Alligator mississippiensis: one gene and its partner. The protein of the gene in region 1 interacts with the protein of each later gene in a pairwise test. Links are inferred from orthologs where the notes say so. Each region holds a gene or a part of one and is shown on either strand. Other genes may lie near its edges.

Region 1 (16,523 bases):
TCCAAATTTCCCATGGAATAAAAATGTTAAAAAATCTATTTGGGAACTATTTAATTCAGTGATCCCCAATTAGGGTGCCTCAGGACCCTGGGGTGCCTTGAGAACTTTTAAAAGGTGTCTGGATCTTGGGTTACAGGAGAGCAGCAGCCAGAAACCCCCAGAAGCTCTGGTCCTCAACCCCCAGAACAAGCAGGAAGAAATTTAGATTGGAGATTAGGAAGAACTTTCTGACTATGAGGATGATTCTGCATTGGAGCAGAGACACTGTGGAGTCTCAATCCCTGGAAATTTTCATCACCAGATTGGAGACACTTGCCTGGAATGGTTTAGTTAGGGTCAATAAGGCTCAGCTTCCAGCTATTGAGGAGTTGTGTCAATACTGAGCAACTGAAAATTGAGTCTTTGCTGCTGTCACTGTTCTCTTCCCCATTTACCCCCTCCATCTCCCATTCAACACAGCTGCCCACCAGTTACAAGCTGTGCTGAGGTCCCATCCAGGGAGTGTGGGCCAGGCGAAGTGGTGGTGGTGCAGACATAACTTCCAGCTGACCCGCCTTAGCATGGGCACAGACAGAGGCAAATATATCCAGCTCCACAGGCTGGATCCAGCCCATTGACAGTATGTTGCCAACCTCTGCAGTAGACTATAAACCAACAGTGTGCTCTTGTTGCAAAAAAGCCCAACAACATCCTGGGTTGTATTAACAGGAGTGTCACTTGCAAATCAAGGGAAGTGATTCTTTCACTCGATTCAGCACTGCTGAGACCTCACCTAGAGTACTGTGTCCAGTTTTGCACCCCACACTTCAAGAAAGATGTGGACAGATTGGAAAGTGTCCAGTGCAGGGCAACCAAAATTACTGGGGGCCTGGGAGGCAAAATCTATGGGAAAGGCTTGAAAGAATTAGGGTTATTTAGTCTGGAGAAGAGAAGATGGGCGGGGTTAGGGATTTGGTAGCAGTCTTCAAATGCCTAAAAGGTATTTGAGGATGGATTCATAGATTCATAGATGCTAGGGTCGGAAGGGATCTCAATAGATCATCGAGTCCGACCCCCTGCATGGGCAGGAAAGAGTGCTGGGTCTAGATGACCCCAGCTAGATGCCTATCTAACCTCCTCTTGAAGACCCCCAGGGTAGGGGAGAGCACCACCTCCCTTGGGAGCTACTCTAACTGTGAAGAAGTTCTTCCTAATGTCTAGTCTAAATCTGCTCTCTGCTAGCTTGTGGCCATTATTTCTTGTAACCCCCGGGGGTGCCTTGGTGAATAAAACCTCACCAATTCCCTTCTGTGCCCCCATGATGAACTTATAGGCAGCCACAAGGTCACCTCTCAACCTTCTCTTGCGGAGGCTGAAGAGGTCCAGGTGCCCCAGTCTCGCCTCATAGGGCTTGGCCTGCAAGCCCTTAACCATACGAGTGGCCCTTCTCTGGACCCTCTCCAGGTTATCTACATCCCTCTTGAAGTGTGGCGCCCAAAATTGCATGCAGTATTCTAACTGCGGTCTGACCAGAGCCCAATAGAGGGGAAGTATCGCTTCCTTGGATCTGTTCGTCATGCATCTGCTGATGCACGATAAAGTGCCATTAGCTTTTCTGATGGCTTCGTCACACTGCCGACTCATGTCCACTAGGACTCCAAGATCCCTTTCTGCTTCCGTTCCACCAAGCAGGTAATTTCCTAGGCAGTAGGTATGCTGGACATTTTTCCTCCCTAGGTGCAGAACTTTGCATTTCTCCTCATTGAATTGAATTCTGTTGTTTTCTGCCCATTTGTCCAACCTGTCCAAGTCTGCTTGTAGTTGTTCCCTGCCCTCCGGCATGTCTACTGCTCCCCACAGTTTTGTGTCATCCGCAAACTTGGACAGAGTACACTTCACTCCCTCGTCCAAGTCACTGATGAAGACATTGAAGAGTATCGGTCCTAGGACCGAGCCCTGCGGGACTCCACTGCCCACACCCTTCCAGGTTGATACCGACCCATCTACTATGACTCTCTGGGTGTGACCCTCCAGCCAATTCGCCACCCACCGGACTGTGTAGTCATCCAAGTCACAGCCTCTTAACTTGTTCACCAGTATGGTGTGGGATACCATATCGAAGGCCTTCCTGAAGTCTAAGTATATGATGTCAACCCCTACTCCTGCGTCCAGGCGTTTTGTGACCTGGTCATAAAAAGAGACTAGATTAGTCAGGCATGATCTACCTGCTACGAACCCGTGCTGGTTTCCCCTCAGCCTTGATAATTTTTTCAAAGACTTTGCCTAGGATGGAGGTGAGACTGACTGGCCTATAGTTGCCTGGGTCCTCCTTCCTCCCCTTCTTGAAAATGGGGACCACATTGGCCTTTTTCCAGTCCTCCGGGACCTGGCCCATGCGCCACGAGCATTCAAATATTCCCACCAGTGGCTGTGCAATGACGTCAGCCAGGGCCTTCAGTACCCTCGGATGGAGCTCATCTGGGCCTGCTGACTTAAAGGCATCCAGTTCCTCCAAGTGACTCTGCACCATCTCAGGGTTTATGCATGGATGGAGGTGGACTTTCCTCTGGGGCCATAGGACACAAGACTAGGAGCAGGACTAAGCCTCAAACTGCATCAGAAGAAATTTAGATTGGAGATTAGGAAGAACTTTCTGACTATGAGGATGATTAGGCATTGGAGCAGAGAGACCATGGAATCTCAATCCCTGGAAATTTTCATGACCAGATTGGAGACGCTTGCCTGGAATGGTTTAGTCAGGGTCAGTCCTGCTTTGAACAGAGGTCTGGACTGTGAGGTCTCTTCCAGGCCTGCTTTCCTGTAATCCCGTGTCACAAGGTTCCACACAATATTAGCATTGCTAGGCGTACAAACACAATTCACAAGATGAACCCATAGATTTCAAATAGGAACCCAGTTTTAAAAACATTCTGATCTGTTGTGATCTTTCTGCATTTTTTGCAACAGAATTACTCTATTATTTTTCTGCACTCAAAAAAGATTGAAAACTTAGGAGCAGGCGTTTTTCAATGGATGCCTCAAATCCAAAATGAATGAGAACCCATGGTTTAATTGTTTTATTTTGATAATGTGGATTCACTTTTTGTCACTTACATGGTATGGTAAATGCATATCACATAAGGTTATAAATTCACCAAAATAAAAAAAAAGTTTATTATCAAAGGAAATTTAACGTTTACGTTATCAAAGGACATTTCTGATTTTCCCATCTAACATTTTGTTGAGGTGACCATATTCCTGCAAAATGTTTCAGTTTTAATTGAACTATATCTTCTGATGAAAATCTACTTTCACTTATTACCATGTTTGAACTTACACCCATCCTGCAAATGCTGAAGAACATACAGAATTTTTTACTTACAAATAGTCTCATTGAGGTCCATGTGACTATTCATGTGAGTAAAATTACATGTGTGTATAAATAAGGGTTTGTAATTACATGATCTTCAACATTAGGATTTAGATCCTTTATTCAAAGACTGATCTTCAAAATCCCTCCTAGCCGCCTATGTCTGATATATATATATTAGTGCCTACATTTTCAATATTCAAGTTTCCTAGGTATCTGAAATGTTGCTTCTGAGGTTGCTCAGATCCCCTGGCTTTTTAGCATGGTTGAGTAGCTTGGCACCTATCTCCACACTGATGCCCAGTCAGGATCCTCAGGCTAAATCCCCATAGATGCCCAATCTGGTAGGCAGACAAGGTTCTTTGGGTAAATCTGATATCTTGGGTATACTCAGAGCACATTTAAGGCACATTGACAATGAGCTCCACACACAGCAGCTCTAGCCCCTTTCATTCAAAAATTCAGCCAATAAAGTAAGAGGGGGAAAATGCATAAATAGTGCTTTGAGCAGAGGCAGGAACCCAGGCCTTATGTGTTCCAGATGAGTGTACCAATCACTAGTCTATAGAGCAGGGGTGGGCAATTATTTGGGCCCAGGGGCCACAATGGGAGTTTTGACAAATTGTCGCAGGCCAGGTCGGCACTTCCCGCCCACTGCAACAACTCACCAAAACTCCCTGTGTGGGATGGGGCCATGGGTGGAGAACAGTGTTCAGGAGCAAGACAGGCAGGGGAGGCTGGGATCCCAGGGTGGGATTGTGGGGCAGGTGGGGGGCTGCCTGGGCACACACATGTGTACACATGTGTGGGTGGGGATCTGTCTGGGCACTAGGTCCTGGGAGTAGGCCAGGTGAGGAGAGGAAGGAGGGGGTCTTGGCCCCATGTGGAGTGTCACAGGGCAGCCGCGGGCTGGATCAATTGGTGGGCACCCCCTATAGGCCCCCTCTAATCAGTTGGTGGGCCAGATCTGGCCCACAGGCCATATTTTGCCCACCCCTGCTACAGAATTATGCTCTCACTCCCTCATCCAATGCATTGTAAATTCTGTTTTGCAAGGTGGCTGTGCTTAAATGGGCAACATACAGAGTTCTTCCCCTCCCCATCCTGCCCCATGATAGGTTAGGGCACTCCCCTGGAATGTGACAGATTTGGAATGGACAGCCTCATGGTGAGGGGGGCATTGAATCTATGTGGCACCAGCTGCTCTGCCATATAAAGGACTAGAGAACCCCTCCTGTGTTTTTGAAAAGGATGGAGGAAGTTTCAGGCTGGCAATCCCAGTCTGACAGATGTGCCTGCCTGCAGTCCAGAGTTAGATGTCTAAGCCCCCCTACAACAAGGGCTAAATTTAAGACTTACTTCCCCTTCCATCATTTTCTATGAGCTACCTTTGTCAGCATCTGCTCAGCATGTTGTCTGTTGTGAAGTCTATTCTAAGATACCTGACTTCCTCCATGAATGTATAAGGGGTTTAAATGTCTTGCTCAGCAGTGGATTCTACTGCAGAGACCAGGAGCCTAAGAGTTAATTTTTGCTCTCTCGCCCTGATTTTCCAAACCCTTAAGCACATGTATAACTTTACATCATGTCCATTGTTTTCAGTATGGTGCCGCTCAGACAAAGTGATCTGACAATGCACAATTAAGTTTGCAAGGTCTCAGGGCCTTTGGTGCAATACCCTGCTACTAGATCAGTTGAAGGGGTACTGTATATTATAGGAACTGGGGTCCTGTTACTACAGTAGTAAGGTCCACCCATATAATTCTAATATTCTATGTATCTTTCTAATATTCTTCAAACAGAAGAGTTCAAGTTTCTTCTGGTTTATTCTTTTTTCTTACATACTGTAGTTGTCAACAAATAAAATTAAGAATTTAAAACAGTGAGTACAGAGAGGGGAAAACTACACTTCCCAGAGTCCTCTAAGAAACCAAACACCAGTTCTGCATCTTCAAAAAGCAGTTGGTTGTGTTGGAGCACTTCTTAAGAGACGGCTGCTTGAGTTGGAGCTCTTTAGCACTTCAGGTATGCTTAATGTATGAAGGAAGTATCTCTAAATGTGAATGACTAATTAGTTTGATAGTTTTTCTACCCTAATATGGGGTCAAAATACCTGACAGACTTTCACTGATAGGGAGAAAGCCTTCCCTTCATTTCTCTTTATGGGACTGGTAATCTTGATGTATTTTGCTCATTAGCAAAAAGGCCGTTTTGGATCTCTGAACCTTATCAGCAGTCAATGAATATTGAGAGTAACCACAAATTTGAGAGAAAGGAGTGAGAAGAGAGTAGGTGAAGTAATTAGGCAGCTTTAGAAAATAAAGAATGAGATGACTCCATCTGAAAAATATGGAAACAATATGGAAAAATATGGATTTCTTTAATCTTTTCAGTTAAAAAATTCCAAGCTCAAGAACAGTGTTTCTTTTCAATCAGTGCTGTCATAAAATTAATTACATGGAAAGTACTGAAAGTAACAAAATAGATGAGAAGACAGTTACTTGAAAGAAATAAGCCTATTTGTCTTCACTAGCTAATCGAGCTGATACAAAAAAGCCCTTAGTAATTCTGCAAAAAGCTTAAGCATTTCAAACTTGACTTCATTCCAAAGTGCTTGAAACTGCTGATTTCCACTGGTTCTAAAATGTTCACAGTATTTACAATATGTTGACATGTATCAAAAACAAAACTGAGTTGGGTTTTCTGATAAACTAATTTGGGCACCCCAATGTTAAAATATAGACAAAGCAAGATTTTCTTATGACAAAGTTTTGATAGCGTTGAAAGGTTTTTCAAATAATGTCTGTTTCTGAAACAGGCTGTTTTTCAGAATACAAAATTTGCATTTGAAGGGGGAAAAAAGACCAGTTGTACTATCTAATCTTTTTGATGCCAAAAAAAGGGTTCTGCACTGAAAAAAAACTGCCAGGGAGAGAGTTGTTACACAGCTTTCTGGATATTGCCAAAGCTATGCAACTTTAGTTATGCTGTTTCTGCTGTTAAAGGGATATAGCATGAGGATGGTAAAATAGATAAGATCTTAGGCCCTGAGCCTGCAGTAAATTGTAGTGATATGGACTACTACTCTCAGAGTAAGGTCATTTGACTCCAATGAAGTCCTGCTTAGGCAGAGAAGTCTGCCTCACATGACCTTGGGGGCCTCCAGTAGAACTGAAAGTTGGACATAGTAAAGGATTATGCCAACTCTCACAAAAGAAAAACTGTTTGTGGGTGGTGTCAGCGTGTGATTTCATAACGTTACATGGTGTGATGGAATACTTTGAGATGAACAAATGCTAGAGTCACACTGTAGATGAAAGATCCTCTGTGAAGGACACTGAGATCTGACACATTATAAATTGGCTTCAACCTGAAAGCGATGTAACTTTGTTTTTAAGACTTTCATGGAAATGTTGACTCACTGACAGTGTCCACATGTAGTATTGTTCTTTTAGAGATTTATTAAAATGTTTAAGGAATACCCTAGCTCTGAAACAGAGTAGACGAAGGTGGGAAATAAAATTGCCTGTCACTTAGTAAGGTTCTTCAAAACTTTGTTTTAATGTAAAATGTTGATTCTGTTCGCACACATTCTTAATTTTACTTGTATGAGTTGCAAAACATAAGATGTATGTGAAAGTGTTAGGAAGATCAAGGCTTTAGACATTACAACAAAACTATTTTGTCCTGCTTTATTTAGCAACCATTTTGTTTGACTGTGTTTCTAGTAAGAAAGGAGCCAATGTGGTTGTTTCTGTGCCTGTGCACTAGAATTGGTGATGATATCAGCAGGGAATGTGTGCTGCTATAGAAATAATGGACCTGATTGATCATTATTATATATCAGTGTATCAGGAGTAACTTCCTGTATTGATATGAGTGGTTGAAACCCTTAGAAAACTAAAGTGGGAAGAGACTCTACCCCAAACTTAGTACACTCTGCAGCAAAGCAAGAGGAGACTCATATGTCATATTTTAAAGTAGTAAATGACTTTTTTCAGTTTACTTTTAAATAATTCGGCGACAAAAGGCAGTGCATAAAGGGAAAGGGAGGAGTTTAAAACTGGACAGTATTCCTCAGATGTTTATAGCCGAAGTCAAAATAATTGAGTGGCATCCCTTTAAAATTAGTATGATCTAGTGATGCTTTTAGATGTCTGGAAAGCTATTATTAACAAGCTTGCTCCATGCAAGAAATATCCCTCTACTTCCCCAAAAAGTTGACTGCTTTAAAGTAACCTTAAGTCTGAGGATTTAAGTTCACACAGACCAAGACATTTAGAAGTTAAAGTTCCCACAACACGTTAACATAGGCATGCTCTCCGGAACTTTTAGTTAATATTTGCTTATCTACCTGAGAACAAACCAAAAATTAGATCTGCATAGGTATACCTCTGCATCCACACAAACCTAGATGAAGAAATTGTGCTTCCCACTGTCCTTTGGAATTAAATCCATTACAGAATGTTACTTATATCATAGAAAATGCCTACTTATTACTGAAATATCAGAGCACCTAATGCACAATAATGAATTTAGCTTTAATACCCTCATGAGGTGGGGAAGTAGTATTAACCTCATGTTACAGACAGAGATTGAAAGTACTGGTTGATTTTTTTTTTCTGTTGCTGCCCAACTAATGCAGCCATTCCACCTGTGAAAGTGAGCGTAAAGACTGCTGTCATACCAGATTGCTCCACTCTTGCAGGTGATAGTCTTAGACACCTGCTCACTTCTCTTTTCACAGATGTAAATATTTACACAATGTGCCTTTCAGCTCTAAACTTCTATGAATCTGTGGGAGTAGGCCCTGTGTATGTCATTCATCCTCTGAGCCACTCTGAACTCCAGCCAACCTCCAAAGATGATGGGGACCAAGAGGGCAGGCAGCACCTCTGTTGGGCTCCTACGTGATTGTAAGTCTCATGTTCTCCATCTGCAACAGCTAAGGAGATGGAAGGGATGGTGTGTTCTACCTGCTAAGGGGAATTAAATGAGCAGCCCATTTAAATGCAGGTAACTTGAAGTAATACATGAGCAAAGCCTTGAATGCTGGACACTTCACAATCTGTATTTAAGACACAATTTATTTTGACAAGGTGTAAACTGAACAGCAGATGAGCCACATGCTGACTGGGGGGTGTAACAGGGAACCCTAGCCCTGTCACCCGAAGACAGGTCTGCTCCTTTAAGGCCTGAACTTTCTGGGTGTGGAGTACTGGTGAGGAATGGGGTTAAAGGCCGAACCTGTCCAGCTAGTCAGCTGACCAGAAGGGGCAGGCCAGGACTATAACCCTGGGCAGAGTGGCAGTGAAGGCCAGCAGCCAAGGGGGAAGGAGAGCATCTCAGAGCTCCAGGAAGAGGCTTGGTGGGCAGTCCAAAGCCAGGAAGAGGGGAACTATGGAAGCCCCAGAGAAATGACAGCCGCACCGCAGCAAGGACTGGAGCTGATGGTGGGGAGCTGAAACACGAACCCTGCAAATGCAAGCTGACATACCGCTTTCCTTACTCACATTTGTGGGTGGCAGATATTGCCCAGGGATGGGACTGTTTATTTTTCTTTTGGTTATCAAATAACACCAGTGGTTTGGGCGAGGCTATTAGGGGAAGGAGGAGGCCTCCTTTTTGGGGCCCACTATGGAGCGGAGACCCTGGTGCCAGTGAGGACGTGGTTTTTGGGGGTACATAGACCCCGGTGCTAGTGGGGGTGTAGGATTTTAGGGTGCACTGACCCTGGCACCTGAAAACATGATCTTAAAAAGACTGGGGAGTTCTGGTGCACCTAGGGTGCAATTTTATTTATTTTTTTGTTGGACTGGGAGAGTGCAAGTTTGGGGCTGTCCCCTGGCCTTGAGCTTGTGCCCCCTTGGTTGTGGGGCTGGTGGCTGGGCCTCTGGGACAGTGGGGCCAGCCTCTAGATTGGAGCAGGAAAGGGGGTCACAAGCCACAAGACACTGGAAAAGGCTAGAGCCTTGGAGTCAAACCCTGTGTGGTGGGTTTAGACGGGGAGGCCTAGCTAGAGAAAGACAAGGGTCAGGCCCATGTAGACAAAAGGCCCCAACATACAAAAAAGTATGACAGGCAGTCTCCCGCTCGCAAGAACATCATCATCATAATTTTCTATCGAGACGTGGCAGGCGAGAAGAGGGCGGGACATAAGAACTTCAAGGAAGACTCCAAGGGTGCCCCACGTAAGGTGCGGATTACCAGAGAAGATGGCCCTGGGGAGGGCGACCTGTTACAGGGGGAACCCTGCTCTTCCGCAAGAGGGCTGCATTTTGTAACTTTGCAGACAGGAGCACTTCTAGTCTCAGTGTGTGGACCCAGTAGGGCACGGTTCGTTGAGGAGATAGGATATTATTAAACCAATGGAGTAGCTGGAATAAAGTTCTTAACAAGCTTTGGGGCACAGCCCAGGGTCTACCTCACTGAGTCTAACTGTGAATAGTTGGCAGGGTGCGGCAGAGTCACGAGCTTGCCTGTTTCTCCCGCAAACTCTTGATCCTGCACCTGACCGACCCCAGCCTGGCAGGCAAGCTGCTTGAGCCCCTGCCGACAAACTCGGGTGACGGCGGGAGCAATGGCCGTGGCCCAAGGGCCCGGAGCCCCCTCCTGCTGCCGGCAAACGAGTGTGTGTCCGCAGCTCCGGAGCAGTTGCTGCTGCTGTTGCTTCACCCGCCGCGCTGCCCTTGGGCTGGAGGGAGCCTGGCCCCGGGCGGCGGGGCGGGGGCGGGCGAGCGAGCTCCTCTGCCTCATGTCCCTGAGGGGCCGGAGCCCGGCCAGGCCCGGCTGCCCCGCACCGCACCGCACCTGCATCCGCGGGACCGCGTCGGCGCCGGGCCAGTGCCCGGGTCACCAAGCAACGGAGGGGCAGAGAGGCGGGGCCGCCCGAGACGTCAGTAACAGCAGGGGGGGGGCCTATCGGGGCCACCAAGGCCGTGACGTAATCCCTGCCCCCCAGCCGCGCTCTGCTCTGCCCCCCACCTCCGCAAGCAGGTCCCCGCGCGGGTGAGCTGAGCTGAGCCGGGCCGGGCCGGGCCGGGCCGGGCGGAAAAGGAAGGTGCGATGGAGGGGACGCTCCGGCGCTGACCCCGCTCCTGGAAACATGGTGTCGCACGTGAGGCTTATGTAAAATGAAGGACACTCCCCGCAGCCAATGGGGGCGGGGGGCGGCCCAGCCCCGCCCCTTCCGCATGCAGATGAGGCGTCGGCAGAGCCAATAGGCGACGTGGGGGCGGGTTCTGTGGCCGCGGTCACGTTTCTGACTGTATGAAGTGGGATCTGTGGCGAGCGGCGAGGGCTGGTGAGTGCGCGCGGGGGCTCCCGGAGCCGGGCCGGGCCGGAGCGGGGCCTGCCTGGGGGCGCGGGGTCGGGGTGCGACAGGGCCCACGCGGCCGCTGCTGGGGGTCCGCGCCCTAGAGGCGGCGCGGGGCTGCGGAGGGCTCGGCCGCGGGGGCGGGGCTGAGTGGCCGCGTCCTTCCCGGCCTGGAGATGCTCTGTCCCCCGCGGGCGGCCGCTCCCGCTGCTGCGCTTTCTAACCAGCCTGTCCGCGTGTGCGAGCGCCGGGCGCAGTCGGGTGGGTCCTGCCGCCCGCCGTCGCCTCGGGGAAGGAAGCGGCTCAGACAGATGGTGCCGCCGGGTGCGGGCAGAGGGCGGCAGCAGCTCTGCCGAGACGCTGGCTTAGCAGGATGTCAAAGGAAATTTGCGTTGTTAAGTTCCCGAGGGCTCGGGCTGCCCCGTGTGTTTTTGTCTCTAAAACGCGTAACTCCGAGCTCTGCGGTCACACGCGTGTGAGCGCTTCCCCGGGCGCCGCCTGGCACTCGGGTTAGTCCGGGCCTCGCCGTGCGGCACTGCTGCATGCACCGCCTGGCCCGAGCTTGAGCAGGAGACGAATGCTGCTTAAAAGCCCAGGGCACTGCCAGTGCTGGCCTGTTTGCCATCCTGAAACCAGCCCCTCACTTTCAACTGGTTGAATTGCTTGACAGCTGTTTTCCATTCACTGTGCTTATAGGGAGTGCATTTACAATAATGGTTAGGATGTGACTGCATGACAGCAGAGGTTCTCAACTTTTTTTTATTATTATTCCTGAGGCAGCCCTCTTGGTTTTCATGAACTTATAGGTTGCAGAGGGAAAAGTAGAGCGATTCTCCTGTTGTAAAGAGCTGAGACTACAGTAGGTCGGATTGTTTTGGGCGTTACAGATTCCTATTTTAAATCTGGGTTTATTTTCTGATTCATACAGAGGTGTTTGCACACCTAAGAGTGCTAATATTGTGTGACACCCTTCAAAGGATCTCACAGCAGCCTGGTCAAGAATCATTGAGCGAAGTGGTGGTTTTGTAAACCTAAGTGAAGCCAGAAGCCTGGCCTTAAAACATTATGCTTCTAGTCTGAGGAATGGGAATTTGCCCTGTTAACACAAAGCAGATTTCAAAGTTGTTCCTGTCTGTGAAGCCAGAGACTTTGAAGTGAGGGGACATCTATGTGCACAGAAGACTTGGCCTTTATCACTTATTTGTATTATGAGTGTTCCCCTGCATCCCATGAGGACCCACTCATTATTCCAGTTACTGTACAAACAACATAGGAAGCATAGGTGACGTGTAAAGGGGGTATGGGGGGCATGTGCCCCTCCCCTGAGATTGGCCACCTTCGGCTTCTGTGTGGTCACTGCTCGTCACCCCTTCCCTCGCCAGCATCTGTGAGTGGTCCCCGCTTACCACCTCCCACCCCCCTTGCTGCCAACACTGCTATTGGCACCTGCAGGTGGTCCCTGCTTGCTGCTGTGGTGCCCTTCCCCCCCCTCCCCCCCCAGTCTCAGGAGGCACCAGTTGTTTATGATAGGAAGTACCTTGAAAAGCAGAGGGTCTAAGTCAGGGGTGGGAAAAATACTGCCCATGGACTATATCTAGTCTGCCAAGGGAATTTGTTCTGCCTGCAATGGGTCCTTCTGTCCTGCCTGTCCCAGGGGCAGGGGGCAGCCCAAGCTGTAGTGCACGTGGCCTATACTGCTGCCCCCAGGTGCGCAGCAGGGCTGGGGTGGTGTGGTGGCCTGACATGCTTCCTGGCTGTCACTGCCCTGGACCTGGACCTGGGCACCCCAGCCCGTCCACCCCACACTCACCATTGCGGGTGGGACCTGTGCGGGCAGGGCAAATGGCTGGGCAGATGGGATGGGGCTGTGGACAAGCAGGAGGCAGAGCTGGGATCACAGGGCAGGATCATGAGGTAGTAACAGTGAGGGCCTGGGGTCAGGGGTAGAGCCGTAATCTGGCCACATCTCTGATGGGTCTTTGTCCGTTCCCTTGTGCAGCAGTGTTTTACTAGGGTACTTTCTCCAGATCTGAGGGTTTGAGAAAGGAGAGGGTGGATTGGCCAGGGGATGAGACTTAACATAGATAAGGCCAACGTTTGATTTCCACACCCTTCTCTAGAGCCACAGCCTGTCTACCAGAGGTTGATAGTGCAGATGCCATCTTGTGTAGGTATTTACACACTATACAGTGCTGATTCTGTTTGGTACCTTTAAAAGGAGCCTCCTGCTACCATTGTTGAGAACCAGGGAGTTACAGAGTAGACAATGACTGAAGGATTCTGTGTACAGAAGCCATTTATATAGTTAACAGATATGCAGATTAATTTGATGTAAGCTGTAGGTAACAAAGTTGGACTGGCATTGTTTAATGCAGTTTAGTGAATTATGCATTTATCTGCCATGCATACCAGTGTGTTGCATTTTTTTTATTTATTATTTTTCACTCAGTAATCTAATGACCAGGGTGTTTCATACTTAAATAAACAAAAAAGACCTCTTGCCTCCTTTCTACCACAAAGGTCCTTCTTTTTAAAAAATAAGGCTTTGTTTTTGTTTACTGTGGTTTCAAATAACACACAATGCTATTATTACTGAAATAGTGTGGAAGGGGGCATTGTCTGTGTGCGTTTGATCATTTAATAAACTCATTTTTGCTATTCTTCATCTACTTCATGTAGACCTCATAAAATAGAAAGAGAAGGAACCTGTAAGGGCTTCCAGAACGGAACTTGTTGAAAGGACTTGAGTGGCATCTTAGGCTGTTTGTTTGTTTTTATTACACTTATAAATTGACTAGATTTCAGTTGTCAGTGTGTCTTGAACCACCGAGTATGTTTGCAGGTGACATTACTCAAAGCAATAAATAGCTCTGCGTCTGCTTCTAAAGGATGTTGAGGACAAATCCTCAAGGACACTATGATAATTTTGACAGTGAGGCCATAAGTGTGTGTTGAAATGCAAGTAAGTTAAAATTTGGATGTGGAGCTTTGCCAGACCAGAACTTGTTGTGACAGGTTCAGTCATACCAGCAAAGACTTGCTTTACTTGGATCCTGATTCTTTATTAGTAGAGTTAAGAAAGTATTGAGTGTAGGCCTCAATAGGGTATAAAAATCAAGTCTTTAAAAAGCCAGGAGTTAAAACATAAACTAAGTTATTTGTCAGTTAATGTGTTAACCTCTTCAAAAATAATAGTGAAATATGTTATTAAAATTGTGTCTGCATGTGCAAGAAGTACTAGGAATTAATGTCTGCCTTCCCTTGAATTAAACTTTAAAATTAACTTTTCACGGAAACTGTTATACAAGTGAAGGTGACCAAAATTGTTGTTGTTAAAACTCTGCCAATTTCTTAAGTGTAAATAAGAAAGCAGAGGCTTGTGTCTCCCAGCAGAGGTCGTTTTATTGCTAGATCCCATTTGGGTGTTTTGGGTGCTACTAAAATGAGTGACAGTCTGAGTTTTGATTAGAAACTTAATCTCATCATAGTGATGATTTCCTCTGAATAGAATTATATTTCATTTGTTTAATGTCTTAGCTAAAAACTGGTAAATAAGTGTGGATATATCCTGAATGTGACCTGGCTTTTTCTCTGATTTCTTATCTGATGACCAGAAAGTCTAAATTGCATAGTCTAGGTTGATACAGTATTTAAAAGAAACTAGTTACTTTCTATGTTTTCATTTTGTTTTGTTTAAATGCACTTTTAGAAGTCTAAAAAGAGCTTTTCAGTAACACAAAGCACCTTTTTTCCGGTCAGTCATTTGTTTAATTCACAGTACCTTTACACTACTGTCTCAAGAGCTGTTCTAATAGGCCCATGTTAAAAGGGAACAGCGTGATCATTTGAAACTGTTGTGTGCTTGTGCCAAATATTATACTATAGAAAAGTTCCTATTTCCAGAACTGCCTGGTTACCTAGTAATTATAATGCATAGTAACATAACAATTCAGATGTTATAAAAAACTTGTCCTTCAGATTTTGATTCAATGAAGTAAATCCATAGAGGGTTATTTTGGGTTTTGTTGTTGGGTTTTTTTTGGGGGGGCAGGGGTTACCATGTTGCAATTTTAGATTCTGCATGCAGAGTATACACAAGAAGCACTGTTGGTTCTGAAAAGTAGCTTGAACATTTTAGAAGCTGAATTGTGTTATTAGATGTACTATCTGATCTCATCTGTGTGTGAGGGAGAATTGTCTACCTGTGCTGGACTTTGTATTACAGTTTTATTTTTTGTTACACTGTATTCAAGGTAGCAAAGGAAATTTGACATGGGAGAATATGATGATGTTACATTTTTTTTGTTTGATTTAATGTTTAAGGGTCCAGAACTTTTTCACCGCCATTACAATATCCATTTCAAACTCATTTTTGTTCATAATGAAGTCCCTTGATTTATTAAATTGGAGATGCCCTATGTGCAGCCTTGGCTGCAGATCAAATATGTCATTCAGTGGTAGGGAAGGTGTGGCTTCCCTGGGAAACAGACTGTTCTCTTGTCTTCTTCTTCAGCTTCAGGCAGGCAATTTTTTTTTCCTAGCTGTAGGAAAAAAATACAGGGGACAGAAAAAGATGGTCTCCAGGCTGTCTGGGATTCTCCTCCTCATAGTTACTCTTTGTGCCCTAACTGGGAAATAATTGGATACTTCAAGTCTCCTTTGACTTGCTGCTGATTAAGTACCTGCCTGAAGATATTCCTCTGCTGCGAAGAGCCAAGGCCAAACAAATGTGTGTGTTAGGACATGGTTTCTTGTAGCCCCCTTTTTATGAGTAGTATCAACATCTCATCAGGGCCATGTCCTCAGTTTGACAGTAGAGCCCTGCTTTTTGTGCGCGTCTAATCCAGAGGATTAAATGATCATTGAGTTTCTTTCCAGTCCTGTGGTTCTGTAGATGTACCCAAGCTATTAAACTGCCTGATTGGGGAGCTGAGATCAGTCCGATGTAGTCTAGTTGTGGCAGCACAGAGTTTACCATGGGCTAGTTTACTTTTTCTCCAGGAGGTTTTGCAGTGCTGAGTGAGCTCTATGCTGCTATAGCTGGACTGAAGTAATGCCAGGACTATACCTTGGTAAGGGAGTTTTGTCTCTTAATGATACATCTGTCCATCTCTTACCTGAACTGCAAGTTCGTATAGTCTTTTTTTTTTTTCCTATGGGATCACAAGCCAAGGAAACAAATGGCTTGCCTTGTTGCAAAGATGACCAAAGATATTTTGTTATAGACCTTTAATTTCCGCATCAAAATGTTATAAAAATTTGCATACAGGTAGCACCGGTAATTCTGGTTGGAAAACCTTGCTTCTCCAATTTTATTGAGTACAAAGACTTCCCATCTGCTTTTCATCCAAAAGGGAGGTGATATTACAAGTGTCATTCATGCCTCAGAATCCAGATAATCTGTGTAGTTTCCTGGCTATTAAACCCCTGAAACCAAAGGGAAGGTGCAGAAACTATAATGTCCATAATTTTTTGTCTTCCAAGAAGAAGCTTAGCAGCTCAACTTCAACCTGGCCCCTGAATGTGCTGTCAGTTGATACTAGGAAAAGGGTTTCATTATTGTATCTGCATGAGTACCACAGATTTTTGAAATTCTTAGAGATGGACTTGATTGATGCCTGGCAGTTCAAGCATTTGGAGATCAAGGGTATTTGACAAAGCAGCAGCTTGGTTCAGCAGGCAGGTAGTAGATTTCATCTTTTCAGGTGTCCAGAATTTTGAAAGTTACTTCTGTTGTCATTGTGTTTTGGGAGGACTTGGTTCTTCTCTGAGATTTTACCTTGCTTCCAGTGTCATTAGGGCTCCTCTGTTGGAACAAGTCATGACGTTACTTTCTAAGCATTACAAATAAAGCCTTTT
Region 2 (15,909 bases), on another chromosome or scaffold:
AATTGAACTCATGTCTTGCTGTGCTTCCTGAACAACAATGGGTTTTTCATACCTTTTCTCTTTAAAAAATGAAAATTTGGTATATTGCAAGGTGCTCCCTAAAGACGTTTCAGCATCAGGCCAGAAGCAAACAGTCCTTCTTGGGAGGTCCATGTGCACCCTCTTAGACCACCTCCCAGCGACTACCCAGGTGGAAGGAGGAGAGAAAAGGGGCACTGGAACAGACAAATAGCTTCAAGCTGAGAGAAGTAAAGACTGTGGGGGCAAGGAAGGCTCTTCCCCACCCACCTCGCAACTCTCCAGGTGCAGGTGGGAAATGCTGGTTGAGCCATGCTGCCGACTGTGATGGGACAAGGGGTTTCATGGGAGGCCTTCAGGGGAAGAGGGAGTCAGAGGCTGACAGAGACATTACTGTCACAGGCCCTGTGGTGGTGGCCACAGAAAGATGAGAGGCTAATACATGTTGAAGCTTGCTGAGGTCCACATGCTCAACACCAGTCCGGGCACAGGGAGGTACAACAACAAGTCTGTGGGTCTGTGCCACTGGTATCAGCCTAGCCCATGCTTTGGGAAGGTGCTTTAGTAGTTTGGGGGTGAGAGCTGCAGCCACTAGAGCCGGTACCTTTGGACATGTGCAAGTGAACAATGTGCATCCAGTCAGAAGCCGAAGCAACTGCTGGAACACTCTGTTCCCTCAGCATGTCCAAGGCAGGAACACGCACTCACCCACTGCCAGGGCTGGCTTGGATCTTTCCAAGAGACTAGTGCAGGCCCCAAATGCCCATTTCTGAGCAGTCCGCACAGTGACCTGTTGCAGACGTGCTAGCTGGTGAGGGCCCTTCACGTGAGGTAAAACACTTGTGCTGTTAACCGCAACACGGATGAGGGTTAAATGACCCTGCTGCCAGCCTCGGCCATTTTCAAGGTGCCTAGGCTAAGTTACAGAAGTGCTGCTAAGCGGAAGGCCCAAAAACTTGTTCTGAATGACCGGAGCATAAACCTTTCCAGATGTGACAACTAACTTGGTCAGCAAGCAAAGGAAACCATCAAATCATTAACCAAAGCATGAAGCCTAAAAAGAGCTAAGAGAAGTCTATACATTGAATAATCCACATATACTATATCATAGCTTTATCCTGAAGTAGTAGTGGTAGCAACTGATGTAACTAAATATACATTTATAAATAATGGCATAGGCTGAAGAGAAATGCAGAGAACTCAGCAAAATCAAGACCTGCTGCTAATCTGTATGCCACCCTCCTCCCACCTCCTGGGTCTCCCTGGCCAATACAGGTGAGAACCTATGTTTTACGGTTGTAGGCAGCCAGCTAGATTTGGGATAAATATTTGTTCTCATGTTTGTAAGGTGCAAACAAATAAAAGGTTTCATAGATGTTAGGCTCGGAAGGGACCTATTAAATCATCGAGTCCGACCCCCTGCCCCAGGCAGGAATGACTGCTGGGGTCATATGAGACCCCAGCCAGGTCTGTCCAATCTCCTTCTAAATACCTCCAAGGAAGGGGACAGCACCACCTCCCTTGGAAGCGTAGTCCATCTTTTGGCAACCCTCACTGTAAAGAATTTTCTCCTGATATCCAGTCTGAATTTGCCTGCCCTCTTCCAGTTTGTGGCCGTTATTTCTAGTTACACCAACAGCTGCCCTGGTAAACATCGTATCCCCTATGGGCCCCTGAGTGTGTAGGCAGCCACGAGATCACCCCTCAGCCTCCTCTTGCGGAGATCTGTTCAGGTCTCCCAAACAGTACACATCGGGTTTTTGCTGTAGGCCTTTAACCAGATGAATGCCCCTCCTCTGAACCCTCTCCAGGCCATCCATATCCCTGTTGAAGTGCGGTGCCCAAAACTGGACACAGTACTCCAGCTGTGGCCTGACCAATGCTGCATAGAGGGGAAGTATCACTGCCCTAGACATGTCCGTGATGCACCTACTCATGCAAGTATGGGTGCGGTTAGCTTTACTTATTACCTCATCACACTGGTGACTCGTATTCATTCTGGAGTCAACTATGACTCCGAGATCCCTTGCAGCAGTCATAGATTCATAGATTCATAAATGTTAGGGTCGGAAGGGACCTCAATGGATCGAGTCCAACCCACTGAGTAGCACGACAGTATGGTCCCTCCCAGGCTGTAGCAGTGTTGATGATTCTTCTCCCCAGGTGCAACACATGACACTTATCCTTGTTAAACTGCATCCTATTCTGCTCAGCCCATTTCCCCAGCCTGTCCAAATCGGGCTGGATTTCCTCCCTGCCGTCTAGTTTGTGTACCTCCCCCCATAGTTTGGTGTTGTCAGCAAACTTGGACAGGGTGCCTCCTACTCCCTCGTCCAAGTCACTAACGAAGATATTGAATAGCACCGGTCCCGGGACTGAGCCCTGGGGGACTCGGCTGCCTACATTTCTCCAGGTGGAAGCCGACCCATCCCCCACCGCTTTCTGGCTGTGCCCCATAAGCCAATTTTCTACCCACCGGCCTGTGTAATAAACTAAACAGTTGCAATGTAGGTTATTTATAAGAATTGGGTGTGACACTGTGTCAAAGGCCTTTTTTTAAACCTAAAACACCATGAGTAGCATGTCAGAAAAGTTTCAAGGGAGTTGCGATGTACAGTCCAGTGATGACACCCAATGCTAATGAGGCGACCTCAGGAAGGAACAAGGCTCCAGGCCTCGACTCGGTTTCCCTGCCACGTTCACGGGCTGAGAGATTCTCGTCTCAGAGAAGTGGGCTGGAATACGTACATTTCAACCCGAACTCTATAAAATCCCCACACAAAGGCAAAGACGTGGGAGTCAGGAACCGGCCTCAAGCCTGGAGGATGCACGGCGAGGGGCGCTGGCCCCCACGGGGCACTGCGTGCGTCCGGGTATGCTCTGCTGTATGTAGCTGCTCTTGGCAGAGGTGCTCAATTACCGAGGTAGGTCCCAATAAAATGGTGAACTTTTTTTTTGAAGAACTTGCTTTGGCTTTTCTTGTACTTGTCCAGAGATCTCCTGGGCGTAGCGTGTGTGCATCAGATGACCCCGGGGTGGGCACCGCAGGGCTCGGAGGCGAGTCTGGCCCGTGGAGGGCCGCCCGTCCCGCCTGACCCGGCACCCCGCGGCAGGGCCGCCCCGCTCCGCACTCGGCGGCAGGAGCGCCCCCAGACCAGCCATCCGGACCGGCGGCGGCCAAGCAGGAGGTGCTGCTCGGCACAAAGGAGCAGCGGCCCCGCAGACTTCTCCGCTGCCAGGCCCTTCTTCCTGCAGCCCACGGCCAGACCGCCCAGCTGCGCACAGCCCAGGCACGGACTCCAGGAGGGACACGCACTGCGCATGCGCTCTAGAGCCCGGGCCTCCCAGTCACGCGACGGAACTCTCGAGAACGGCCATAAACACGCATGCGTACTTGGGAAGAGGCGGTGCGTCACGTTTGCCCATCAATGGGCAAAGCAAGTACGCATGCGTGAGGCGCTTATCACTTCAATAGTGAATAGCTCGATGGTACTGACAAGTCCGCATGCGCAGTAGTCTCAGACGTAACACATCGACCGCCGATATTATGGATTGTGCGTACATCCTGTCAAATACCAGACACTGGCAGAACAGGAGCCATGGATGGGTTTCCATGGTTACAGAGGCTCAATGCGCATGCGCACTGGGAATGACCGCTAGGCTTCTCCGGAGTCAATATTCGGGGCAGGGATGAACCCCCCCGCAACGTTTCTCCCGACCCGGAGCTTCAGCCACGCCAAGTACGGAACTGGCGTGTGGGAAAGCAGCCGCCACGTTAAGCTATCAGTGGGGGACACCCACTGCGCATTCATGGTACAGAGTGGGCTCCCCATAAAGTGCCGAAAGCGTCTATATCAGACCACGAAAACACATGCGCACTCAGGAAGAGACGATGCATCGCGTTTGCCCATCAATGGGCAAATCGACTGGCCACGCGCGGGCTGCTGAAGGGTTGATCAGCTGGGCTCCGAATTTATCGAGGGTTCTGGATCCTGCGCATGCGTACTGGGCGCTATCAAAAAAAACCGCGATCGCGGCGCATGCCTCCGGGGAATTTGCGGACGCTATAAGACCAAGCATCAGAAATAGATTTCCATGGTTACAGAAGGAATGACGACAGGACGAGAGCCAAAACTATCAAGGCGCGGGTCTCGGAGCGCATGCGCACTGGGAATGAGCGCTACGGACAATACTGGTGGCTCCGGGCCCACAGCGGAAGCCACCCGGGGCCGCGGCACCAGCGTCGGGGAAAGTGAGGCGGCATTAAGCCATCACTTGGGGGGGGGGTGGGACCCAGTGCACATGCGCTGTACAGAGCCAACTGCCAGTCGCGCGAGGAAAACATCGACGAGCATCCATAAGCACGCGTGCGCCCTAAGGAAGAGGGGGGCTATCTCGTTTGCCCACTAGTGGGCAAACCAAGTACGCATGCGCACGGCAACGAGTGGCTGACTCGTGCTTGTCAGTGTGCATGCGTAGTGGTCGCAGTCGAAGTGCGCCGAACGCCAATATTATGGATTTGCGCATTCGTCTTCGAGTCATGGTTTTGTTTCCATGGTTACAGAGGCGCTGATTAGAGGACCAGCGCGGAAGCTCGACAAAAACATCGATGAGGGGCCATGAACACGCATGCGTACTTAGGAAGAAGTGGCATATTGCATTTGCCCATCTATGGGCAAAGCAGTTGGGCATGCGCGGTGCAAGGTTGCGTGAATGGAACACTGAATTGAGTGATGTTGCTAGTAAACCCACATGCGTAGTGATCCCAAACGAAATACATCAAGCACCGAGACTATGGATTGGTGCATGCATCATTGGAATACGGGAGCTCTGCCAAAGCAGGAGGCATGGATGAGTTTCCATGGTTACACAGGCAGTGATGACAGGACCAGTGCCGAAACTATCGAGTTGTCACCTCCAGGCGCACGTGCATTGGGAGCAGGCTGCGGCAACCGAACGCCGGCACCATGGATTTGTGCCGCAAAATGCACATGGGGAACGGAGAGTGATGATGAGGCCAAGCACTGAAAGTATCTATGGGTGAGATCAAATGGGCAGGGTAAAACGGGGCAGGTGCTGTGGCCGAGACCCAGGTGACCCCTACAGGCCCAAGAGCAAGGAGCGACCCCGTGCAGAAGGGGCCAGGGCTGCATTTACATCACATGGAAGAGCCTGAGAAAGTGCAATAAGAATCTGTTTCTCCAGCCTTTAATAATATAGACAAGACTGAAAACCAGTAACTGCTTTCTGGACAGGTGGGAAAGAGCAGCTCAAAGCAGCACCTGATGTTTGGTTTTGTGAACCTGCTGGAAATTAAACTAGGTCTGAACAGCAGAGTAAAACACAACAGGGCAAAGAGCATTCCCAGGCACACAAGGAAAGAGATGAGCAGTGCTCCTCTATTCCAGAGTTGTATCGGACTCCAGGGACACAGGCCCCAGCACATTGGCATCTCCCAAGCCCACAGAAAAACAAGTTCACTCACATTCCCAAAGTTTCAGTGAAACACATTTGCATTACACCTATTGCTATCAGAACAGTGATTTTAAAAACCCACATATAAATTTTAGGTGTAAATGCAGGGAAACTTTACAAAGACTTTTGCAAAGTGGAAACAACCTGCTGTTAGCCTCCTCCCTCCTGCATCTCCCCAGCTGGTAGAGGTGAGAATCTGTATTGTGGTGTTGCAGGTAACTAGGCAGGCATAGATAGAAGTATTTATTCTTGTGCTTTGAGGTGTAATGAAAAGGTTGAGTTATAGACCTGTCTCTTGCTTCTCCTTCTGGCTTGGGTGGTAGTACCTTACTTGTTAAGAGGGAATGGAAGGTCCAAGTTGATGCACTTGCCTTTAAAAGGCTGGTGTTGCACAGAACAAACTTTGGGGCAGGGGCCTTTCATGGAGGTGGGCTTTCTTGCTCCCCCTTGTGTCCTGATGCCCCCATGAGCAGATAGCTGGGGAGAGGAGAGGGACAGGAGGGTAAATAGTGTTAAGGGGGGCTTGAGAGGAAGACTGGTAGCAAAGGTGTAGAGGCAGCATGCAGGGCTTGAGAAGGTGGGTCCCCACCTCAGATGGGACCCTGGATGGCATGGCTCTTGCACTGAGACTGTGGAAAAAGGTAGTCAAGGACACAAAGGTCCCCCAGAGACAGCAGAAGGCCACAAGGTTGGGGTGGGGCCAAGGAAGGTTTTTTGGGGGGCAGACCCATGGGGTGTAGGGAGTCTTGGGGGTGGGGTGAGGGCCTCCTGGGGGTAGGCACTGCTGCCCTTAGGGTCCCAAGGAACTGAGCTAGTATGGGGAGGGGGCTCTGATGACATGTTAAGAGGATGAGTGGGAATCCCAGGGCCCCCCAAAACTTAGGGTCCCCAAAGGTCAGTGAGGGGCAAGGCTTCCTGCAGTGGGGTGCAACTAACCCGGGAAGGTGGGGGTGGGGCAGGGTGAGGGCAGCCATGAATGCTGGAGCCCCAGTCTGGTCTGGGGGGCCCTCCCCACCATCCCCACTCCCAGCCTGAGACCCATCCTGTACCCTACTACTCCTCACCTTGTTCTGAGCCTTCCTAGCACCCTCCTCTGTTGGTCAGCACCTGCAGCCATAATCCTGGCCTGCACCCCCTGCTCTCTGACCCCCCACCTAGACTTCCCTCAAGTCCTGTCCCTGCTCACCACCGCCTGGGTCTCCCTTGACTGCTGCCCACCCCCCACACCCGACAGGCGTTGTCCTGGTCGCTGCCTGTGCCCTGCCCCATGTGCCGTCTGCCAGGCAGGGGCTGTTTGGAGGGGCCGCTGCCCGCACTGCAGGGCCTGCCCCTGCAAGGAGGCGAAGGCCCCAAGGACGTCGCGCCTGAGAACAGCCGGGACTGGCCGTGCTTTGGAAGGGGCTGAGGGAGCCAAGCTGAGCCCGGCCCGGCGTTCCGCCGCCGCCGCCAGAAAACGAGGTCTGAGAGTGTGGTGCAAGCAGCAGGTGGGGGGAGGGCTCGGTCCCTCCGGTTCCTGGGCTGGGCTCGATCCCGGGCTCCAGGGCTGGGAGACTAGGTCATCCCGGACGCGCTTTTGTGCCCGGGCCCAAGCGCAGCGGGTCGGAAGGTGGGACCCGCGCGCCGGAAGCGGCCGGAAGCCCCGCCCCGTTGCTACGGAAGTGAGGTCACACAGCATGGCGGCTCAGGCCGGGGGCCGCTGAGGAGGCGCCGGGCCCCCGGGAATCCGCGTCCATCCTCCACCTCCCTGGTGCCGCGCGCGGTCCCGGGGCCGCGATGGTGCCGGGCGCCGCCAGTCTCTGAGCCGCGGGCCGCGCCGCCGCCGCCATGGAGCTGCGCGTCGGGAATCGCTACCGGCTGGGCCGGAAGATCGGCAGTGGCTCTTTCGGGGACATCTACCTGGGTAGGCTGGGCCGGGCGCGGCGGCGTTGCGGGGCCGAGGGAAGCCTCTGACTCGGCGCGGCCCGGGGCACCGATCGCCCGCGCCGTTCCTCCCCTGCGACCTTGGGCGCGGCGGCGCCCGCCTGGCCCGGCCGCCGGTCGCGGGGCCTTGCCGGGCCTACCCGAGTCCCCGGCGGAGGATGACTCGGGACCGCTCCGAACGGGCGTCCTGCAACCGGCCCGTCTTCCTGCTTGGCCGCGCCTTACCCCGGGGTGCGCGGCCTCCGGGAGCGGCTCCACGCCGGAGCTGCAGGCAAGGGCCTGGGGGCGACACGAAACTCGGTAGGAGCCAGCAGGGTGCCCTTGTTGCCAAGGCTGCTCACGGCATCCTGGGCTGCATTGCTAGGAGCGCTGCCAGCAGATCGAGGGCACCATTCTCCCCTGCTATTCGGCACTGGAGAGGCCACATCTGGAGTCCTGTGTCTAGCTGTCCACATCCTTTCTGTTGTGGGGGGCCCACAAGTTGGAGAGTCTAGCGGAGGGCAGTGAAAATGGTTCAGGAGCTGCGGGACAGGACCGGTGAGGAGAGGCTGAGGGAACTGGGCTGATTGAGTCTGGAGAAGAGAAGACCGAGGGGATTGAATAGCAGCTTCACCTCCCTGCAGGGGGGCTGCAAGGAGGATGGAGCTGGGCTGGTCTCAGTGGGGGCAAATGACAGAACAAGGAGCAATGGGCTCTAGGTGCAGCAAGGGAGGTTTAGGTTAGATGTAAGGAAAAACTTCCTTAGTCAGAGGGTAGTAAAACACTGGAACAGGCTCCCCAGAGAGGTGGTGGAGTCTCCATCCTTGGAGATTTTCAAGACCCAGCTAGACAAAGCCCTGGCTGGGATGATGGAGTTGGGGCTCGTCCTACTTTGTGATGACCTCCCTTCTAGCCCTAACTTTCTGTGATTTCTGTAAACTGCTTTTTTTGGTATAAACCCCCCACCCTGAGGCAGTGATCCCTCAATTTTGATTGAGGCCACTGTACCCCGTTGCTAATTTAAATGTTAAGCAAAGATTTTGAATGTGCTTAAGAGGAAGTCAGAATGACTTGGGTCTGTCTGAATTTATTTTATGTAAAATAAATGTTTATATGTAGCACGTTGTCTTGGAGGGAGGGGAGTTCTTGAAAACTGGGGTAGTTTTCAAAAGGTAAGTCAGAACAACGCTTTTTCTTGTCTTGACAGTGACAAAGTAGCCATAGGTCTAGTTATTTTCTTTTTGAGCTCTTTTGTGCATGTGGTCAGTGTAATAGATTTGCCTACAAACTATTAATTTTTTTCTCCTAAGCCACATTTTTAATTCAAGAGGCTGTATGTAATCAGAAATAACAGCTAAATGAAACTCTCTTTGCAGGCTCTCAAGGTTGCTTATCCTTGAGTAAAATGTGTACTCAATGAAAACTCCCTGTTCTAGCTGATGGCCTATGAACTTGGGGGGGTGGGGAGAAATTTGGGGGCTGTTTCAACGCCTCGTGTATAAGGCTGAGGAAAGTGGTGTGTTGCTATGTACATGTTATGCCTGTATTTCAGAACTTCCATTGGCTGTCTTTGGATTTCAGGCTGCACTTTACAAACGAGAGAGAGAGCACCTTAAACCTGGTGGCTTGGTGCCTACCGGTCTAAAAAATGGTCTGCAGAGGGAAGTCAAATCAGGCTAAGTCATGTGTGAATGTAAAGTAATAGCTGCTCCTAATGACCTTCCTCTGGATATTGTCTACACCACACAAACAAAGAGATTGTTCCTCTTCCCACAGCATTCTGCAATAGTTTCAGATCAACGGAGGCTTTTGAGTTGATATATAAAAGGAAACTGACTTGTATCTTTCCATTTTTGTGGTTCTTAACTATGGGAACAAAGATGGAAGCAGAGTGTGGGGATGGGCAAGTATTTGTATCGCAGTACTGTACTAGAGCTCTAAGGTATGAAGCTAGCTGCAGCACTACAGCATTAGTCCCATATTTTCTGTCTTAGACAATCCTTAGAGGGCATTGCTTGCAGTGCTTTCTGCTCGAGGGTCCTTCACCTTCAGATTGTGCTCCCTTTGGGTCCCAAATGACTTAAAACAGCCAATCTGAAAACATGATGGTTAAAGGAAGTTACTGTATCCAGCTAATGATGTGGATTTTTTTTTTTCCAGCAAAATCTAGTGGGGTTTTTGTCTGTTTGTTTGCTTGCTTGCTTGTTTGTTTTCAGGAACAGCCCTTTGGTGACTATCCTGAATTCCTAGTTTAAATCTTAATTTGTTTGACTACTTCTTGTTCTGATAGGGTGCTTAAAAGCTCACCTAGATGATGTTCAAATATGTTGACAAAAACAACAAAAAATCTGAGCCTTTCATGTTGGCAAACTTTTTTTTTTTAACTGGCATGTGCTAATTTCTTCCAACCATTTTAAGTAGGGAATAACAATTAAGAGTTGTTATATTAAAGGTTTTAACTAATCTATTTTCTTATACTGGTTCACTGCCTAACCATAGATAGCTTTTGATATCCTTCAGCAGATGTTAACGTTTCATCTACGTTACTGAGTTGGCTGTGTGTGCGTGTGCGCCTTCCATTACCCCTCTGCCTCTTTCCTCCCCCCAGTCCTTTCCTAGTACACAGTACAGGATATGCTGGAAGAGTAAAAAGAGTTGGGGAGGGACTCTGATGCGAGTGGAGGAAGGAGACTTGCCCAAATGTGCCTTTAGGGAAGGTAAGCAATTCTGCCCCAGCCCCCTGTGCTATTGTATTTCTGCTCCCCCCCCAGCTGTAAGGATTTAGAAGAGTATCCTGGTGACTACTTACAGCAATGGATTCAAGAAGTAGAATTTCAGCCGTACTTAAATTTTTTAAGTGACTTTATTGAGAACAAATTTGGGGTTTAATATGCCTAGGCCTTTGAAATTAGCATCCTGATAAGAAAACAAAACTGCAGGGGTTCTCAAATGTTTTTTAAATTGTACAAAGAATGTCCAATATAGAAAAAGAGAACAGTAGGAATAGTAAGCTGTTCTAATATTTGATAGGTTAGGCCAAAACTGGTATAAATGCTACAAGCACATAGCTACTTTGTGGCTTCTGCATACTGTTTGCTTTGCTAGCGAAGACTCCTAACTGTAAACAGCTAAAATCAGAAGGAGAGCATCTCAACATATTTCAGCCCTTTTTCGAAGTGAAGAAATATTCATGCTGTCACACTTCATGACAAATTATAGAAATTTTTGACCATGTCAAAGTAATTTTGGAAATAATATTTTCTTTATTTAGTGAGATTTTATACCTCCTAATTTATCTTTCCTGACTATCAGGAAACTGCAGCCTGCTAATTGAAAAACTGTTTGCTAGAGCAGTGGTGCCCAACCCATTTAGGAGCCACAGCAATAAATGCTGTTGGTGCTTGTCTTATATCCAGTTTTCTGAACCTGGATTTTGGTCACACCTGCTTTAGACTGTAACTCCTCCTGGTTTTAATCTTATCTACATAGAAGCAGATAAGATCAAACACTTTTAATAAATGCATGAGCATGGAGAAAACATTCAAACCCCAAATAAGAATGGTGGGGGGAGGGGTAGAAAATTGTATGGCATAAAACCTACTTTTTAAATCAAGGAAGAAAGAGGACTTGGAGCATTCTTTTTAAAAATAACATCTTCATGCTAGATATTTTTTAGTTTGCTGTTTGTACAAGAATGGCATGCCTTTCCAAAGCTCATGGGTGACCTTTACAAGAGTTAAAAGTACAGATTTAAAATGAATTGCCACTTACCACTGTATCCAGCAGAACTTGATCCCTTACAAAGCAGAACTTACTCTCATCAGACTTGATCCTCTGCAGCTGCTCATGTAGATAGGCTGTGCCTTGTGGCATTCTCACTGGTGACAGATGATAGAACAAGGAGTAGTGGTTTCAAGTTGCAGCAAGGGAGGTTTATGTTGGATATTAGAAAAAAACATGCTCACTAGAAGGGTGTGATGAAGCATTGGACCAGGTTACCTCAAGAGGTGATGGCATCTCCCTCCATCCTTGGAGGCTTTTAAGGCCTGGCTTGACAAAGACCTGGCTGGAATGATCTAGCTGGGGATGGTCCTGCTTTGAAGCTGGGGGTTGGAATAGATGTGACCTCCTGAGGTCCCTTCCAACCTTCATTTTCTATGATTCTATGCCCTGATGGTCAGCAGTCCATGGCTGCTTTGGAGTAGGGGAGGAAGGCAAACTCTTTATTGAGCTGACATCCTTCACAGTCTTCTCCACAACTGAAGGTGCCTCAGTTTTCAGGCTTTAATAACTGCTTTAATAGAGGAGGAGGGGTGGTCTGTCTTATAAGGAGGATCCAAGCCATTTGGAGCAGAGTAAATCAAATTTCTCCTTGCATTTAATCTGGAAACCAGTAAGTGGCTAGTGTGTATTGTGAAATGGTTATCCTGTATTGGCATTGAGGAAAAATACTTGATAAGTAGGCTTCTTAAGTTTCTGGCTTGATTTCAAGTATAGGGCCATCTAAAGTGTACAGCAGTAGTCAAGTACTGTGGCTTTAAAAGCAGGGGTCCACTTAATGAAGTCCAACTCAAAATAACTGTCATAGTATCTTGGCCACTTGGACGTAGTGAAGCTCTGTTACCTGGTATGCGTGGGGAATGGGGCGTGCCGGTAATCTAAAAATGCTGGTTACCATGAGACAGGACTTTTTGGCCGGATGCAGGGTGGGGGGCTGGCAGCGGCAGTTGCATGTGGAGCAGCAACAGCACAGGGTGGCAGTGGTGGCCACCTTGTGCAAGCTTCCTTCTCCCGCCTGGTCTGGCCGGGCAGAAATTCCAGTTAGTGTGTGCCGGTTACTAAAATGCTGGTTAACACAGCTTTTACTGTACATGGTTGCCTAACAGGAGCTGGGATCCAGCAGTGCAACCAGATTCTAAATAGTATAAATAGCAGCTACGCACTCTTCATTACAGCTGGATATACATCTGTCTTCATAATTTTCACTTGTTTTCCTTAGTTTCCCAGGATCATTCCAATCTTATTTAGAATGAGCTTCATCCAGCTACTAGTTTCTTAAGGAAGTGCTGTATTTTCTTGCATTCATCGTGCATATCTTGGTTTTTGAAGGCAGAACTTAGACATCCCCCCCACCCCCCCAAAAAAAGCCACGGTCAGCTGTGTGACAATAAGTCCTCCTGGATACATGACGCACTATACTTCCTGGGTATACTGGCTGCTAGCAGACATTAAAAAAAACAAACCCCAAAACCCGGTGCTTTACTTCAGACTTTGCATGCCGAGAAGAGGCTGGCTCCACAATGGGTGTATAGATTCGGTGCTGCTGTTTCCAGGAAAACCCAGTCTGCAAAAGTAGCCGTTCTGTCCCACAAGGTAGGGCCCCCAACTGTTGCAAGAGCAGTAGCAAGACTTACTTCTTTACTATAAACAATTCTTTATACAAGTTCCTATGACTAAAGTGTTTCCACTAGGGATATGAAAGGTTAACCATTTAAACAAGCATATTTATACCAGTAATGTAGTACTGGTTAACATTTAGCATGGGTCGCAGTCTAGCAGGGAAGGAAAACGGCAGCTCAGGACTAGGAAGGCAGCAGGGCAGGCAGGAGAGGGTGAGAGGAGGATTAAGTGTGGGGTGTGTGGAGGCAGAGAGGTAATGGAAGGTATATATAAACGTGCAGGCCAGGTCAGCAATGTGGATAAAATTTTAAAAGCTGCTGAAGGATATCAAAAGCCATTTGTAGTTAGGCAGTGAACCAGTATTAAAAAAAATTAAGGTTAGTTAAAACCCTTACAATAACACCCCTTAGTTGTTATTCCCTACTTACAGTGGTAAGGCAGCAGAACTCAGGAGCACACCTATGGTTTATGAGGTTAAAGAGTAAAACAAAAAGGAGGGGGTGCTGATGACTACTCAAGCAAGCAATTGCTTTACTGCCCCTTCGCAGACCAGAAAACCAGATAACAGGCTACTTAAAGTTTAAACCCATCCCCAACTCCCCTTGCCTCATCCCTCCCTCTCAGCATCCTGGCCCCTTGCCTGCTGCTGCACACAGCCCCACAGCTTGCCCCTGCTCCTGTGTGCACCACTATGATGCTGTGGGCAGCCAGCTGTTGCCCCACGGCAGGGCAGGGTGGCACTGGCCCCAGGGCTCTGCATCTCCTTGGTCAGGACTAGGTATGTTATCAGCAGGGATCCTGGTTTTCCGTTTCCCGCAGAAAACCACAGATTCCCCACTTTTATCAGAGAAAACACGGATTTTCCCTTTTAGAAGAGAAACCCACGGATTTCCCCCTTTTGCAAAGAGCTGTGCAGGCTGGCAGAGTTCCAACTTACAAGAACTGTTTGCAGAAGGGGCTGGGAAACCCTCAACCCTGCCAGGAGAGGAAGGGATGGGTGAAGGGCAGTGAAGTGTGGATGTTCACCAATATTTGTCACTATTCTTTGCCTGCTCAATAGTGGTATGCAAGCTGTGGTTCTCAGTAACTGATCTATCACAGATCGCTTTGAGGTTAAGACAGGAGTTAAGCAAGGCTGTGCCATCACTCCAGCGCTGCTCTTAATATTTCTTACCGCAGTGCTACATCAGATTGATGGTAAGCTGTTTAATCTCAGCCAACTCCAAGACAAAATCAAGCCCATCCCGATCTCAGTCATCAAACTCCAGTATGCTGACAATGCTGTGGTCTGTGCTCGCTTGGAAGCAGACCTTCAGGCAATCATCAACACCTTTACTGAGGTATACAAGAAAATGGGACTGAAGCTTAACATTCAGAAGGCAATAAGGTCCTCCATCAACAAGCTCTTAATAAGCAATCCCCAGCTCTGGTAATTCAGATTCATGATGAGACTTTGGAGAACATTATTCCTGTACCTTGGAAGTCATCTCTTACAGAAGGCTGAAACTGACAAAGAAATCCAATGTCACCTCAAACGTGCAAGTGCAGTCTTTGGACACCTGACGAAACAAGTGGTCGCAGGTCGCAACATCAGATTTGAAACGAGGCCATGGTTTATCAAGCAGCTGTGATCCCCACCTTACTGTATGGAATTGAGACATGGAAAATGTACAGGAGACACCTCAAGTTTCTGGAGAAGTACTATCAATGCTGCCTGTCCAGCAGTACTGTCAGTGCTGCCTCCCTTCGAATCCAGTGGGAAGATAGACTTGCCAACCCTAGTTCGCAAACAGATGCCACAAGCATGAGGTGATGTTCATCCAACATCAGCTTTGTGGGTCCTGAAGCAAATTTTATTCTCCCAGCTCAGTCAAGGCATATGCTCAAGAGGAGGGCAAAGGCAATGGCTCAAGGACATTCATTCTCAAGGCCAGCTTGAAAAAAAAGCCATGTAAACATCATGGGAGACTATTGTCCAGGGCTGCCCCAAATGGAAAAAGAGTCTGTCTGCTGCAAGGATCTCAGTACTTTGAAACCTTATAATGATAACAGAAGACAGAAAAGCGGGAGCAGTAGAAACAGCATGCCATGGACCAAATCAAGAATCTGGAGCCAGCCACCCCACACAAACACATGCCTGAGTCGGAACACAGTCTCCTGATCCCAGATCGGGATCATCAGCCATCTTCAGGCCCCTAGATAAAACAGTCATCCTCAACGGTGAGGGACTGCCGAAGAAGAAAGTTCTTCCTCTTTACCTGTAGGAACTTTTGCTACCAATACTGGTATAGTTTGTACGGACCTTAGCATGGTGCAGCATATGCTATCTTGGACGTGCTGTAAAACGCATAAGCAGTGTACAGACCAGTGAGTCTCAATCCTTGTAAACTCAAAGCACCCCTCCAGAACTTTTCAGAATTTAGTGGCACCACACTTCAAGACTAATCTCTTTTGTACAGTGCTTGCCTTCTCACACTGTTTGGTGCCCTTAAAAGATTCTTATGGGATGGCAGGATGGGCGGTAGCAGTCAGGGCATGCCTATAAGCATGGCAGGGGGTGGTACACAAGAGCTTGGTGCTGTCAGGGGCTGCTTGGTGGGGCAGATTGGGCAGTTGGGTGGTGGGTCATTAGCCTCCTGCAGGAGGCCAAAGGGGGTGACAGGCTCAGAGGCTGGTCTTAATTGAGCATAATGGTGACAGGACCCAGCTGTGCCTCACTCTTTCCACGGTCAGTCAGTTCCCAAGCCTTGCCAATGCAGTTGTCCTTCCAGGGACTTTGAATGCCAGTTACCAGAGCCATCCTTCCCTGTACCACTTCTACAAGTTTTGGGAGCATAGAATGAACTGAGTGGGGAGCATGAGCTGAGTTGAAAAGACATGGCATCTCATCTTCCCACCTGCCCACAGCAATGTGCTGCTCAGAATATGGGGTCAGTTGGCATGGGGGCTGTGCTTTTCATGTCTGTTAGTCCCCCTGTTCCTCTCATGCTCTTGGAGCTGGTGGGAGGGAGCATGGGGAACGGTGCCAAGATGTCGGGGCAGGGACAGGGTGCCCAGCATGTGAAGGGGTGAGCCCTTACCTCCCCTCACAGGGGCTGGGTACCGTAGCACTCTTCA

The links.
Region 2: the proteins of PER2 (region 1) and CSNK1D interact in binary tests that used the Homo sapiens proteins (3 or more experiments, as listed by UniProt). The link is inferred for Alligator mississippiensis from reciprocal best matches to the Homo sapiens genes PER2 and CSNK1D.

What each region holds. Positions count from the first base shown.
Region 1 is NC_081830.1:44,725,354-44,741,876, reverse strand, and holds the start of PER2 (period circadian protein homolog 2), read left to right. Parts: upstream 1-10,579; 5' UTR 10,580-10,652; intron 10,653-16,523. UniProt on the Homo sapiens protein: Transcriptional repressor which forms a core component of the circadian clock.
Region 2 is NC_081831.1:121,535-137,443, forward strand, and holds the start of CSNK1D (casein kinase I), read left to right. Parts: upstream 1-7,556; 5' UTR 7,557-7,571; coding exon 7,572-7,713; intron 7,714-15,909. UniProt on the Homo sapiens protein: Essential serine/threonine-protein kinase that regulates diverse cellular growth and survival processes including Wnt signaling, DNA repair and circadian rhythms. It can phosphorylate a large number of proteins.